2 linked regions of the Kluyveromyces lactis genome follow. The protein of the gene in region 2 purifies or fractionates together with the protein of the main gene of each other region. This does not show direct contact. Links are inferred from orthologs where the notes say so. Each region holds a gene or a part of one and is shown on either strand. Other genes may lie near its edges.

Evidence for each region. Proteins that work in one complex are often made in the same cells at the same time.
Region 1: the proteins of CAF130 (region 2) and POP2 purify together in Saccharomyces cerevisiae (affinity purification with mass spectrometry; 4 studies listed by BioGRID). This does not show direct contact. The link is inferred for Kluyveromyces lactis from reciprocal best matches to the Saccharomyces cerevisiae genes CAF130 and POP2.

The regions. Positions count from the first base shown.
Region 1 is NC_006039.1:1,666,047-1,673,876, forward strand, and holds POP2 (CCR4-NOT core DEDD family RNase subunit POP2), read right to left. Parts: upstream 4,945-7,830; coding exon 3,601-4,944; downstream 1-3,600. Other genes in the region: OCA4 (Oca4p), read right to left, coding at 1-855; BRE5 (Bre5p), read right to left, coding at 1,268-2,749; putative GTPase NOG2, read right to left, coding at 5,399-6,133, 6,614-7,420; RNA-binding ATPase activator ESF2, read right to left, coding at 7,790-7,830. UniProt on the Saccharomyces cerevisiae protein: Acts as a probably catalytic component of the CCR4-NOT core complex, which in the nucleus seems to be a general transcription factor, and in the cytoplasm the major mRNA deadenylase involved in mRNA turnover.
Region 2 is NC_006041.1:358,593-366,742, forward strand, and holds CAF130 (CCR4-NOT core subunit CAF130), read right to left. Parts: upstream 3,802-8,150; coding exon 403-3,801; downstream 1-402. Other genes in the region: URN1 (Urn1p), read left to right, coding at 1-410; SUE1 (Sue1p), read left to right, coding at 4,808-5,383; KLLA0_E04005g (RidA family protein), read right to left, coding at 5,883-6,296; PEX4 (E2 ubiquitin-protein ligase peroxin 4), read right to left, coding at 6,527-7,003; KLLA0_E04049g (pepsin-like aspartic protease), read left to right, coding at 7,943-8,150. UniProt on the Saccharomyces cerevisiae protein: Acts as a component of the CCR4-NOT core complex, which in the nucleus seems to be a general transcription factor, and in the cytoplasm the major mRNA deadenylase involved in mRNA turnover.

The sequences.
Region 1 (7,830 bases), on a different chromosome or scaffold from region 2:
TCTCTTGTTGAATGCCAAACGATATCTGTTTCCGAAAATGCCTAATGCAGACCTGGAGTGTTTTATCGGAAGCTCATGTTCCTTTGCATCCTCTTCTGGTTTCAGTTCCATCGTATGGATCATGCTCATCATGTGCTGAGGTAACTCCGGAGGCATGGATAGATCAGATTCTTGCACAGTTTGTATTTGTTGCTGTTCTTGCTGTTGCTTTTCTTCCACTGAAAGATTATCCATCCGGGAAGTCACGGTGGAAGAATCTGTATCGTGGGATTCCTGCTGGTTTGGTTGCTCTTCTTCTTGTATTAGCCGTATATCTATCAATTCCAAAAACGTCTCTGCAAAGTAGTTCTTGTTCTTCCCTGTGAATAGCCTGTACTCGCTGATTATCGAGGATAGTTCCCATTTCTGAATCTTTCTCAATATTCCAATCACAGCGGACGTCTTATCCACTAACAATACGTTATGGTACGAGACATCTAACAGTATCCGGAATATTCGCCGGATGCTCTGACTCTTGATTAGCATCAAATCGTCTTGGTCCGTGAGTGTGTAACTGTAGTGACAGTTATCACAAAGACTCTTCCGTCTCGTCTCACCATGATTCGCAGAAGATTGACGCTTTTTGTGATCTGGGGCTACCAAAGAACTCGAATCACCAGAGGTCTTAATGACAAAGTAATCTATGCCGTTAGTGGCGAAGAACTCTTTGAAGAAATTACTCGGGATTTGACCACCGATGAATATGATCGTATTTAAATTCAAAGTCTCCAAAAATGATAGGTTAATGGTCTCAAGTTTACTGCATCGATAGATACCTTCCTCGGGAATCCCGAAATTCGCTGGAGGAACTAACATAGCTGATGGTTTCTATGACCCTAGAGTTGTATCTCCTCACCTGTCCCCTTGGCTTCAGCACTGATCTTTCTGCCAATCACCTTTTCTATCATTGTGATGTGCACATGAAGATCTTTGTTCCTTTAAATTTCATCAAGCTCGAACCAACTTCAAAGGGTTGTGACTTAGAGAAAGAAGGAACAAAAAGGGAAGACAACAATAATGTTTCGGTGATATGCTTATAGTGAGAGGGAAATATATAAAATGTACATGTGGATAGGTTACATACGGATATATTTAACAAGTTTTCCCCGACTCATAGTTTCATCGTTTTAGTTAATTTTTTTTATGGTTTTTTTTTTTATAATATGGTTTTATCACGCCTTTCATTTAGGTTTGAGATGATTTGGGTTTACGATTAAAGTACATGAGATTAGTTCTTTGATTTGTCATTACGGGATTTCACTGAGCTCTTTTTAAGCGTGGAATTACCTTGGTTTAACGAGAGTTCTGGTGATGGGGAATTATGTGAACTGTTGCCGTTTGTGTTGTGATTAGTGTTACCAGAATTACTATTACTATTGTTGCTGTTGTTCTTGGCTTTGTACTTAGAAGCTTTATCGCCCTTTGGGTTTAAATTAATAACTCTTTCACCGACTTTTAAATGTTGAGCATCGATGGCAGCGTCTCTTGCAGGTTTTTCTCTGAAATCAACCACAGCGAACGAATCTTGGAATGAGGTTTTTACGACATCACCGTATTCTTTTATTAGAGCTCTTTCAAGTTCGGATGCGGTCAACCCATTTGTGTTACCCACGTATACTGGGTAGAAACCGCTGCTGTTTTGGATGATAACGTCGCCTATTGGTTTCGATTGCTGCTTGCTTTTCTTGTTTGACTTGGTGAATCCGTTTGGAGGTGGACTTTTAGACTTCTTTTGTGGAAGATCTACCTTGATGTAGTTTGTAGTTAGTTTAGATGTCTTGTTGAGTTTGCCTGCCCAAGTCATTTTCACTGGTTCAGCCTTTGGGGTGACTTCTGTTTCAGGAACCTCTTGTGGGGGCACCGATTCAGAACGGGTTGTCGTTGAGGTTGGGGTGGCTGATGCTGAAGTCGCTTGCTCTTTTGGTTGTGCTTGTGCTTCGTCTTCCTTGTCTTCTTTTTCTTTTTCTGCAATAGCAGCAGGAGCAGTAGCTGGCGCAATCGCCTCATTTTCCTTAGGTTTAGTTTTATTTACTGAAACGGCTTGGGGTTGTTCCACTTTTGTTTCCGTTGGAGCAGTAGAGGGCTGTTGCTTCTCAGTTGGAATTGGCTTGACAATCTCAACCGGTTTCGCTGCTGCCTTTACCACTACTGGAGAAACAGATACAGGAACAGAAACAGGAGCTGCGTCCCCGTTGACATTTGGCTTCTCATTCTCAGCTTCAACAACAACAGCAGATGGTGGTGATACTGGCTGGTCTGGGTTCACTAATGGAGCAAGGTCAGGAATGAAACGAATGATATCGTTTTTCAAATCGTAGACTTTACTGTTATACTCTGCTGGTTCCAGGATAAAGCACTGACAAAATCTGTAAGATGGTGAATCCGTCCAGCATAGCTCCCCTAATATCAATATCAGAATCGAAGAACTCTCGTACCCAGTAGATTGCACATCACACGAATCAATCTTGACCTTCAAATCCTGTACACGCTTGCTGTTTCTGGTAAAGAAATTGTTGATGTTATCCTTACCAATCAACTTGACGGTGTTTAAATAATCTTTGTCATGCTTGATAGGTTCATTATAATTCACATGGGTCAATTCCGCCGTGGTAGAATATAAACACGACAATTTCGATGGATCATTATGCATACGTTCATAGTACGTCCTTAGGAACGCATATCCGATCTCTTTCACATCGTAAGTGGTCATATTTTCCAAACCAAATGTGATTGTATCAAATTAATCTAAACAGGAAAAAACACACTGGTTCTTGTAAAAGAATTCAACTATTCTTTGATAACTCTCAATTTCAAACCGATCGCGGGTATCAAAAAATCAAATTGGAATGCTAAAGTGTATGAAATGAATGCAATACAGTCAATCGTTGTCAATCAGAAAGACCTTTGAATGAATTAAAAATAAAACTGTCAAACAAAAAAAAAAAAAAGAAGGGAAAAGCACGCTCTAATAACGCTCTAACAACGTTTTAATCCAAGTGTATTAACGGTGGATATTCAAGCAGGAAAGTATAGGGTATACTAGAATACAATAACAAAAAAGTATTAATTTCCTATGGGTGCTTTTTTCCAGACTCACGGGAAATTTCAGCACTACGAACACCGTATATGTGCCTCACGCTTCAAACTTATCGCTAAAGATTAAAGTCTGGTTTCTAATGAATGCATGAAAACCGATAAGCGAACCAAATAGACACCCTAACAACAAGAAACGCCCCTCACAAGCAAAGTATGTGCATGTTTGCATCTAGTGATTATATGTAAAGAGTCAATTTTCAAAATTTTTTAATGGAAAACTCGTCAATCATCTTATGAAATCATGCCTCACGAGATGCCAGGTGAATGAAGTACACAGGTTGCGCTCTTGCAACCTGTGGGTTTCGCACTGGTCAGCATCAGTTCAGTTCAGTGACGGTGGCTAGTCAGCCACCTTTTATACCCTATTTTAAGAATGATTGTGTATGTATATATATATATTCACATACATAAATGCATTATTGATGATACTCTATATGAAAGGCTGGCACATAAAAATCACATATATTACTCCTGTGTGATTCCGTAGATCAGGTTCTTGTAGTAACTGAAATCTGTTCCATTGCGTAGTTTGTACAAAGACAATTTACCGAGTTGGGTGTATGCCAATAGTGCCAAGAGACTTTGTCCCGCTGCGCTGCTGAACAATGGGAAGATCGGAATCCCCAACTCGTCAGCCAGTAGTTCTAGTGTATATTGCTGTTGTTGGTTTTGTTGCTGTTGCTGTTGACTTTGTAATAGATGTAATGGTGGTGGATGTGGGTGTTGTTGCGTTACCTCATGAACTAACTTGTTAATTAGGTTCAAATCGTACGACGTTGGTATGTATTTCTGAACCCACCATTCGAAGTCCTCTTTGTTGTTGGGCATGTTTGTGTTCATGAGCCTGTTGATTAAGAACCCGTAATCGTATGCTGCATGGTAACTGATCCACGTGACCTCATCGTTCAACAATAACCCGGAATCCATCATCAACTGAGCAAACTCGTCGAAATCAACACCGTTCTGTTGATGTCTCTCCAAGATGACACCGGATTTCTTTAATAGTTCTAACGATTCCGAATTCACGGTCTCCTTTGTTACGTCGAAATGGAAGTTGAATTGCCATGTGGATGGGAAGTTGTCTGGTTTATTCCCCTGTAAATCGCTTAACGAAAGTCCAATCTGGATTGGGGTTAGTAGATCCACGTTGGATCTCATCGTCTGGTAATGGTAATCTGTCTTTGAGCGGAAATTCCCAATGGGTCTCGCTATCGTACCGACAAACTCGGTGCTTATAGAAATAACTTTGTATTGCTCGATCATTTTACGGATTATGGCAAACTCGAAGTTTACGTTGTTTTGCCACACTTCTCTGATCAAAAGATGCGCTGGAGACGAGATTGGCGTATGAGATGCATTAGGTAATGGTGTTGTATCAAGCCCGTTCACGTTTCCCATTGCCTGTTGTTGTACCGGCATTGGAAATTGCATCTGCTGTGGAATCGTATTGTTATTAGAGTTACCACCGGAAATGCTGTTCTGCATCATCATAGGAACTTGCCCATTATTCGGCAACGGCATTTTTCCCGGTTGCTGCTGCTGCTGTAAGTTGTTTTGCTGCCCAAAAGCACTGTTTACCACATCCATCTTCTGTTTCAACAAGTACGAATTTTGAAGACCCCCATTGTTCTCAAGCCCATGCAGCACATGTGGTTGTTGCGACTGTTGAGGCATCATACGAGTACTATTCATAGAAGGGGAGAAAAGCATCCCGTTCATCCCAACTGGCCCTTGCTGCTGAACAGCGCCCTTCCCGAAAAATTGCTCCGAATTTGGCAATCCTCCGAGCTGACTATTAAGAGATTGCATTAAAATTCTATCGTACTTACTGGAGTAGTCCTAAATGACAACTCTTAAATCAGAATTGAATCGTATTCCAACCATATATGTCTCTGTCTCTTCCTTATCTAATGCTAAAGGCTTTCCTGTTTCGTTCCTCTTTGGCAGAAACAGAATTTTCGAGGGAAATGTCATTGTGTACGGTGTTGATATTACCACTGGCACCACTTCTCAATGGACAGTGGACCCGAATGGGTCCATTGTCCAGTGTTTCTGCCCCTGATCTGCATGCTTCACAACGTTCGGTGTTATCCAGCCTTTCTACTATTTATTTAATAAATTTCTATGTGCAAGACTTAGCCTAAGTCATCCGATTGATATTAATGTACAAAAACGATAGATCCGATAAGATTGTATATGGTGTGTCTATATATAAAGCGATGCCCGTGTCTGGAGAGAATTAAATATTGAGGAAGTGTTTGGTTTATTCCTTTTTGGCCTTTTTAGAAACAGGTTCTTCTTGTTCCTCTTGCTCCTTCTCTTCCTCTTCTTGATCTTCTTGATTTTCCTCTGCAGGACGTTTCTTATCACCAGGTTCCTTTTCCTCAATCTTGTCCTTCTCTGGTGGTGGTACGAACCATGGGATCTTACCTCTGTTGAAATCGTTCAAGATTTGTTTCGATACCCCGCTTTCATCTGGTTCACCACCTTTCAATAGTCTACCTTGCTTTCTTGCAATCATTTCGATGAAATCTACAGAGTCTTTCCATCCGGAGATCTCATAGGTTCTTTCCAAATGTTGTCTCTTACAACGTTTTAGAATACCTGGAATGTATTGTTCAGGATGCGAAACGTGTTCAACTCTTACCACACCTCTGAATAGAATATCCTCTTCACTGTCCTTGCTGGATGGCGGTACAATACCGGGACAATCGATTAAAAAGATTCTCTTCATCAAAGTTATGTATTGCCACACCTTAGTTTCACCAGGAATAGGTGCCACTTGACAGACCTTCTTTTTCCTTAGAGTGTTGATGATTGAGGATTTACCGGTGTTTGGATATCCAATGAACCCAACAGAGATTTGATGTCTGTCCTTATGCAGTTGTGAGAATTGACGTAGAAGTTGAATTAACGAACCCTTACCAAATGAATTGGTAATAGAGGCATGGAATGCCAATGTGGGACGTTCCTTCGATAGATGTTTTACCCATGCTGCCTGTTGAGAATCAAAAATAGGGAAAATCGTGTTAGTAAAATTGTAATCACATATGTGAATCAATAACCAATTATGCTTTCTACTGGGGGTTGACTCCATGCTGTATTGAGTATATTAGTGGTGATGTGAGGTTCTTTACTACGAGCCATGGCATAATAATTCTTTTCAGATCCAAAGCTCAACTCTTAAGTTCCTCCGTACCCGAAATAAAAGCGCTGATATATCCTCAAAACGAAGATTGTTCAACTAGGTTTCAACCATGACTCCATCAAAACGATGGATAGATCGAGGGTGGGTAGTATTGCTCTTCCAAAACTGTAACAGGCCCTTCTGTATGTGTAAGTTGTACTAGAATGTACGCAGAAACACCCTGACAAAGAATTTTGGTATTCTCAAGATACTGTGGTATTCACTCCCAGTTAGAAAGTATAATCGGTTAGTAGTAATCACTGAAGATTAAAAAGAAAGTTTAAAACATACGGCAACCCATGTAGGAACAAGATCACACTTGTTCAAGACGTATATCAAATGTTTATGAGGAGTCTCATTGGTCATGTAATCAGTCACCGATTTACAACGAGTCCCCAAAGGATCTCTAGCATCCAATACGTGGATGACGACATCGGAGGAATCGATAACCTTGTACAATTCGTTCCAAATACGTTTCGACTGACCTTTGTGGAAAATGGCTTCCTTTGCTGCCTGCGTCCAACCGTCTTCTTCCTCTTGCTTACCCATAAGCCCCAGAGTAGAATCCAATTCTTGCTTTTCTTCAAAAGTCTTATTATCGGTAGAAGTACTTGAAATCAACTCTTCCAACGACGACGCAGCGATTCTTGGTTTCTTCCTCTGAGCCTTAGGCCCAAAAGTTTGTTCAAAGGGCTCTGTCTCCAAAATCTTTGCCGTTGGAGATTCAGCGGAATCCTTTTCGTTCAACAACGACATCGGAAGTTTATTTCTTCTCAATAGCACCTGATAAGAATCACGCTTGTTCTCGCCCAAAGCTTCTCTGAAATGGCTCAATGAATCCTGAGAAATAACTCTGGTATTACCAAACCATCTACGGTCAGGAGCCACTCTTGCTGTTGGAGCAGCAGTATCCTGCAACGGAGCAGCCTTGATAATGTCACCCTTTGCATTACGAACAGATCTACCACCTTTGTACATGTTCAAAAACTGCACTCTCTTGGTGTCCCTGTAGAAATTCTCACCCTTCACACGAAGGTTACCATCCTTGGTATTACCTTCGCGGATTCTCCTTTGCTTTTCCTTCTTACCGGTACCCATTGTGCCTTGGTATAGATTTCAATTAGGTTTCCTTTGGTTCGTTCGTTTGTTCGTTCTTTGTGGTAACGAACACGTTCAATTTCGATCGAAAACTCAAACAGATGGAAGAATAAGTAACTGAATGTCTCTTGCCTGGACTGAGATCAACCTGAATCGAAACAAACCACTGATGAACCTGCCTTTGTTCCTGTTCCAATTCATGAGATGAGATGAGATGAGCTGGAAAATTTTTTCTTTTCACTTTTTCTTACACTATGGGAATGAAAAAGAAACCTGATCTTTGACCATGGGAATGGCAGGCGATGAGTTGTACTCTCTGTAGGGCTTTTGGCTTGGCTATATGCTTTATATATGTGTTATATAGTCATCTTAGAATAAACTATGCATGACATCGTTGAGTGCTTTCGATT
Region 2 (8,150 bases):
CTCCTGAAACCCTATTCTCTAATATCAAGAAAGAAAATAAATCTCTTTTCAAAGAACTGGAAATCAATAAAACTCTTACCAAGAAAGAACAAGAACAGTTTGCTTCCAAGGTAATCGCCTATTACAAAAGAATGGATAACCTACAGCGCACTGAATTATTCAAAAAGATGATGAAAAATAAACTTCGGTTTCCTCCGATATCGGAAAAGTTATCGCAGTTGATGCTAGAAGAGACACCGTCGGACTCTTTTAAGTTAGAAACTCAACTACTTCAATTGGAGAACGCGCTACTTATTCTTGATAATCTTCAAAATTCCTACATGCAAAATGAAATTATGTACTATATTCTGGGTATCAAAGACAAACTAGCCGCTCTGAAAGAAATACTACGAGATCAGTATTCTAAATAGACATTTCATCACACTCTTCCTCTGCTTCTTGCTGCCGAGCTTCTAATATGTCTAAGTAATCAATATCAAAGACCGCCAAAAATTCTCTATGCAATGATTGATGCGTTCTGATGTCCAGTGGCAGAATATGATCGTGGTACTCCAAAGTTATCCTTCCGTGAATAGGAGTTCCTTCAGTCAAAGGATATTTCTGAAGAAGGTGACGGAAAACTTTGTCAACAGGCTGTCCATCAAGAGATTGAACTGGTAGCATTCTGGAGAACCTTTCAGACATAATGGACGTCTTATCACCATTCTCAATGCTTGTATCAGTCTCCGTATCCCATCTGTCATCTATGTCACTTAGTTTTAATTTATCAAAATCTACTGGCAAAAGCTGATCATCAGGGTCAGTATTTGGCCGATCATCTAACCCCTCGGTCCCTAGATCAAGAACTTTCCCTAAAGCCTTCGATTTCAAAAGAGCATACATGGAACATGCTTCAGCAGAAAACGTCGACCATTGCATCAAAAACCTTTTTAATTCGTAAACGTAATCTTCATGTGGAACAAACTCGAATTCCTTATCGTTTAATACTTCTTCTAAAATGAAACACACCATCTTTACTTTCCCAGACATCTCAGCCTTACGCGATGTTGCAGAGAAGAACTCCTCACCATAATCATCTACATACACTTTTGAAGGATTTTTAATTGAAAAAGCTTCAAAACCCGCATCATTATACTCACCTAGCAGTCCTGAAGACACACCCACGAAAAATTCTTGTAGCAACATTTTTTTCTCAATTGCAGAAAGTTCAATAACTCCTTGTCTAGAGAATTCAATTGCAGCAACCCTTTCGAATTCTCCAGTGGGTGTCCAGCTAAGAATCCCCAATTGTTTGTTCTTAGTCGATTCTAAATCATAACTCCTGGCAGGATTGCCTCTTAGACCGAATAACAACTCATACACGTAATGGATGGACGAGAAAGTGTACGACCTATGTGTCAAGTGATAGATTAAGAGCCTTCTGTGCCCATGGCTCATCATCAACTCATCGAAGATTTTCCACCCTAAGCTATCATTGCAGCCTGAAAATGGAAAAGGCTTTATAATTCCTCCATCATCATTAAAAATTGCCGTAATAACTTCATCAGTAGAAAAAGGAAGCACTTTCAAATCTACCTCTGCAGAAGTGGCCGTAATTAATTTCAGTAGAATTTGTTCTTGTTCTAGCTTCACACATGTTGCAATACTTCTCAATACCGTACAGGCTTGAGAAAACGTTACGTTTCTATCTGGTAATCGTCTCAACAACTCAAAGAGAGAAACTTTGTCCAACTTAGACAAAAATTGGTAATCATCCATATAATATAGATTTAATCCACGAGGTATATCCCTCCAATCATCACCGTTTTTATCATAACCTGTTGTAAGATGAGAAACGAAATCATTTTGAGAGTCTCTGTGCGTCATTAAAGATGTGAAAGCAACAGCATTGCTACTTTCGCTAAACGTTTGAGGGGTTTCAGCTTCATTGATCTGCCCATTCTCATCCAATCCAACAACGCTTTTTTCACCATTATAGTCATCATCATCGTCATCGTCATCATCGTCATCATTGTCGTCTTCATCACTAAACTTGCAAAGGCAGCGCTTGTAGAGTCCCCTAAGCATTCTGAATCTATTTTTCTGTTCGAGTTCATTTTTAGTAGATGTAAACATAAGCTTACCATCTGTTAGCTTACTTGTATCTGCATCATTGTAATCAAAGTACTCATAATCAAACATATATCTGACATCTTCATCAATTCTATCTCCTTTTTGTATATCAGTCAATAATTCAACAATTTCGTCATAATCCATACCTGATGGTAGGAGTGCTGCGAAATAATACATTTCATATGTGTAAAGAGCCCCGTTGCATAATTTCCTTCCATGAGGAGACATGAACCCACCAAAAGGTTGATGTTTAAAATCGTGCAACTTCTCATCCACATGACCGTTGAGAATCGTTGCGATAATTGAGCGCAACGCAGAAGCTCCACGAATGACTGCACTAACAATTACTGGAGTACCATATAGCATCTGCATTTCCTCAAACCTATCTATTTGCAAACCTAACACTAATGCTGAACTTAAACCTCTCCATGCTCGAAGCATCATAGGTAAGAATGGGTTCAACCTCGGCGGCTTATCAGAGTGCATCTTGTGCATCGAATAGAAAGATAATCCTGCAATCATATAAAGAATTTCCATTTCGGGCGGAGAAAGATCGTATGGGATCCACGATGTCATGTATTTAGGGTATGCATCAGGGCTTCTTGCTTGGATATCTTTCAAATTGTCTAGAGATCTATAATCCCAAATCTGCAACATCTGCAAAATAGCCAATGTAATAGTTTCCAAATTTGCGCTCAAATGAATTTTCCAGACTTTCTGGTAATTGGGTATCAGTTTAACAATATAAGCAGTCAAAGAACCTAGATACAGGTCATGCAATAAATCCAATGAAATTATATGAGAATCGTTTGGAGGAGGTTGAGTCATGGGATCCGCAAATAAGCAAAGTGAGTTAAATTGCTCTGCAAGGAGTGGATGAGGCTCTTTGTGTAACCCAAGCTTAAAAAACAAATTAAATCGATCAGATTTGCCATTCAAGTTTAACGGATTGTGATCATCTTGTTTTGACAACGGTGGATTATTATGCCCAGAATTCTTTCCGTATGATTCTAGTGAATTCAGCCGTATATCGCCAGTTTTCAACTGAGAGAGAGCACGAACCATATCATTACCAAAATTCCCTAGAGTAGATAAAAAAGTAGAATTACGTTCTAAAATTGTAGTTGGAGATTCTGCATGTGATGTGGACTGCGGAGGGGTAAACCATTGGTAAGAACCATTAAATTCATACAATCGGTTGTATTTCATTAGACATTGCAAAAACTGCGAGCCGTCAAGTTTCTTAAGAACACTTTCTATCAAAGGCTTAGCATTATGCAAATAATCTAGTAAAATGTTGGATGTATCCCATAGTGGTGCAGTGAATTTGGGGTCCTGATTCGTGAGAAGAAATCTCATAGCCATTTTAAACGACTGATCTGAATACCTCTCTAAATCGATATGATCCGTTTCATTCCTTAAAACCCACCCTAGAAATAATGACAAAATATGCTTATCAGTTGCCCAAGTACCGAAAAGTGCCACCCAGTAGGGATCGTTCATTCGTATCAGACACTCAACCCCATCAACGTCATTTGTTCGTTTGGCATCATTAATCAATTGTGTGACAACCGCTTGTCCAGGAACCGTGGTAAAAAGAGCAATGACGAGTTTTTCTAACAGTACGCTCTCATCAACATCCGAATCGGCCAAAAATAATCGCTGAACAGAACTCTTTTCCTGTAGCATGGTAAATTGGAATGCGTATGCAAATTACACGGCGCTAGAGAAAAGGGTTTTCTCTATAGTCCAGAAGAGTGAGTCTTAAAACAAAACAAACGACCGATACCAGGGTAAGCAGTAGCAGCTCTTCCGTTCGTTCCTCTTCACTGACTCAGTTAAGTCCAGCTCAATCCTCTAAAAGTACACCCAGCTTCATTTCATTCGATCTCTCATCCCACCTCATCTCATGTTAGAACATAAACTATAATAGTATTATAACATTTGATATCTGTAAATGTGTTTTTCAAAAAAAAAAAAAAGATGGGTTCCTCCAAAAAAGTTCAGTAACGTGATATTCACGTGAATATCACATTCCTTTAAACATTTGTAATACACCCACACACCCGCCCCGAGATACCAATCCTTGATCCGATATCGCCGAGAGCACCAGCTAACACTGCATATACCGTTAGCCGGTTTTTGCATTTCTTTACTTAGTTTTTCAGAATTTGGCTAATCTCAATTCTCACCCATAAACTGAGCTAGAAACACGCGTGGTACCCGAAGGTTTGCCCGCTATTTCCCCCAGAATGTTTGAGTCTTACACAAGAAAAACCAGGGGTGTGTGAAGTCTTATTTAGACACATAGTGACATAGTGTGAAAACGAGTCGGATTGACTCGGTGAGCAACGTATGACATATGCGGTTTCATCATCCTTTGATCTGACATATATAAAATGAGTATATATAGTTCAAGGGTTTAACGCTTGGATTATCGTCTCGAAATTGATTACTTAGTTGCTTTAAGTATTTAAGTATGTGAAATTACGTGATTTTCCTAAAGCTCGGTGGATTAATATTTTCAGAGGAAACAGGGGATTAAATCGTTTATCGGAAATATCGTGTTTTCTTGTCAGACTATTTAAAAGCAAGGTCTGATAACGTACTGTCGGACAAATAAGAATCTAAACAGGTTTTACTATCTAGTTGAAAGCATCAAAGCATCGAAAAAGTATAATACAACCATAGGAAAATGCCATTTCCAAAGTCCAAAGCCACACAAATGTATAGACAGCTTCCTCGCGTGCCAACGACAAGGTTTCTTGCGCCACAAGAACTCACGGCTGACATTTTGTTCAGCGGATACAGGCCTATTGTGTCTCCGCTGAGGGATAACCCGCTATTCCAAGCGAAAGTGAAGGAACTAGAAGTGGAAAGGGAGAAGAATGGGGGAGGTAAACTAAAGTCTAAGGCAGCTTTCGCATCCGAACCAGAACATCCATTCATGGCCGGTCCCAACGGGACCGGAGGGATCTTATCTGGGGGCGTGAACGGGACGTGGCGTTATAATCCACGGATACCAAACAAGTTGTTACAAAGCGCTCTTTGGTCCAGTAGTGCAATGGGGATGGAGTTCTACCCTGAATGGAACGATGTACCTAATAAAGTATCTGCAAGTTTGAAACCTTATCAGTTGGATCAACCACAGGATAAGAAGATGACCTTGAAGTTCCCACCAAAACAGACAGATGAACTTTCCGACGAGAAGTCGGTAGATCAATACGAAGAAGTGGTTCAAGAGTATCTACAGCAGTGGAAGCTGAAATAATGCACTTTATTTTGGGAATGGACTGATCCTACCCCATCGCTGCATACATTAAACCTATCATTCAATTCACCGTTTTAGAGGAAAGCTGGTCTTAACTTTGGAAAACTCATTAATTCTTATCAATCGGATACCACAAATATACACATAAACAAGCTGCAGGCTCAAGTCTCATCCGGTGCCCTTCTATTTTTTTCTTCCTAATTATTACAATTCAATGCTCTTCACATCGCAGCAACCTTATTCGACATCTTACTTGATTCGGACACTACACGCCGTTCACCTTGTACTTTCACCCTGTGCCATGGTAATTGAATTTGCTTTTCAGTTATTATGGCATAGATTGGATTAAGAACATTCGTAAATTTCCCAGCAAAGTCTGTTCTTTAAACATATATTCGTTAACATATAGTATAATTAACATGCTATAGAGGCATATATATAATAGGCTTTTCCACCACAGTTTTTGGAACGCAAAGCCCGGAAAATCTAAACCCCGCCTTCACAACTTGAACCATCTTTTCTTGGATGGAATCTCAGCGATACATTCTAATTCGACTTTCAATTTATTGTTGGGGAATGCAACGACAATGCACGATCTAGCAGGTTGATTAGGGAAGAATTCTTTGAAAACTTTGTTAACGATACCAGCGTAACTACCATCGGAAACGAACAGCAAGATTTTCAAGACCGAATCAACAGAAGATCCAGATACTTCAAGCACTTTCTTCAAATTGATCATGGAATTTCTAGCCTGTTGTTCCAAATCCTCAGGTAGTTCATTGGTAACAGGATCTGTACCAACACAACCACTACTGAATAGTAACTGATTCCCCGATTCTGTAGCGAACCCAGGTGAAATTAATGGGAACCCGTCCTTAACCCCAACGTCTTTCCATGTAATCTTTCTAGCCATTTCTCTTTCGATAATCAAGTGTCTCCACCCCGCGAACAATAGGGAAGCTAGGCAAAAAGAAAGTACTAAGTCAAAGTAACATACATTTGTGTATAAAACATGTACAAAGGAATATAAGTTGCATCATTTCCATCATTTAATCCTTTTTCAATCATTCCTATTCAATTTCACTGCAAGGAAAAATGAAAAATCCAGCCATGTTGCTGTGTATTTCTACGTAAAAGTCGTACTCAAACGCGTGCCAACCGCGCCTCCTCAAGTCTATACCTAACAATCTGCACGTAGGCTTCATAGTCAGCATCGTATATCTGGGCAATGTCTAGATCTAGTGGCGAGTCCAAACCAGGGTCTGCCAACAAATCTCTTATAGCTCCAACAACATCTAGCAAGGTATATATCGGGGTCCATGCATCTTTCAAAAGATCTAGGCAAATCTCGCCCGTGTCCCACTTCACGTTAGGGTGAGCCACGGTACGTGGCTCAAACAGAACCCGAGGACCGCCACTGATCGGATACTTTTCCAGATCTATGGTAATGTTCAAACCCAACTCAAACCCTTCAAACGGCGATTCTGACGGGCCTTGGAATCGACATACCCATTCGGATAAGTCATCATCATCTACCGGTGCAAGAAAACTGATCCATGAGAATTCAGGGGTCTGCAACCGTTTCTGCAACCCCATATACTCCTTAACAATCCTACTCATCTTCGATCTTTAATTTCCCATGTGTGTGTGTGTTTGCATGCATGCGTGCTTGCGTGCGTGCAAAGACCGTCAATCAATCAATCACGTCACAGAATTGAACCAAATTGAATAATTTTCAGTTCTTCAATAAGATATAGGAAAAAAATTGCAGCAAATCACCCTTTCGGCGATGGAGTGCTCAGGCAACAAAGTTGTCAAAATTTCTTCACCCAGTTACTGCGTATTACGGGTATTACTGGAGAGCCAGATAACTTAGTGGTCACCAAATTGCCAAAACGCTTCAAATGACAACTCAAAATAAACCACGTCCGTAACCTAGTTACCCAGATATACTTCACAGGACAGACCCTGAGGAGAACGTAGCCAACACAACTACACAACTACACATTGCTCTACATTCTACAGAGTAAAAAACATACTCGTCATCGATGGGGCTTGGCCCGTTACGCTCCCATCTGCATTCACGGTGTGTCCTCAGTTCTTTTTTTTTCTTGCCTCGTTTCATTTCTATATTTAATCGTTGACGAAATGCCCCGCTCTATGAAGGCTTGTGCTTGTTTCCCGTGTCGAAAGTTGGCGATGTGGGAACTTTGAAACGTTGAAAAAAAAAAAAAAAAAAAAGGAAGTTCTATGAAACTTGCCTTATTATAAAGGTTTTTTTCCCACGATTAAACGTACACTGGAAAATGTTTCTACCCATCTTGCATTTCACATCACGTACCTTCTCTCCTAAAAGTTTGAGGTAACTGACTCATTGAATTGGAAAGAAAACAGCGGCTATTGTCTTAGCGTATATATATAAAGGGTCTTTTCATTTTACAGAAGACGTTATACTTTGGCTGACGTCTTTTTTTCTTTAATAATTAAAGTTCATTTCTTGGTACTGGTTACTAATTCCCCCTTTTATTATCCAAGGCGCATATATAGCAAACACCAGCAATGAAGTTAAGTGATGTTTGTTTGGGGGCGCTGTTGGCGTCCCTTGGTTCTGCTGGGTATATTACGAAACGTGACGTTTCCCAGGTCGGTGAGGCGAATAAGAAGCATGTCTTCATGTCTTTTGACAAGTTGAGAGGGAATGACGCGTCTGAGGCGTCATTATCGAAGAGACGCGTTGGCCATTTGAAGAAGCGTGCAGATGGTTACG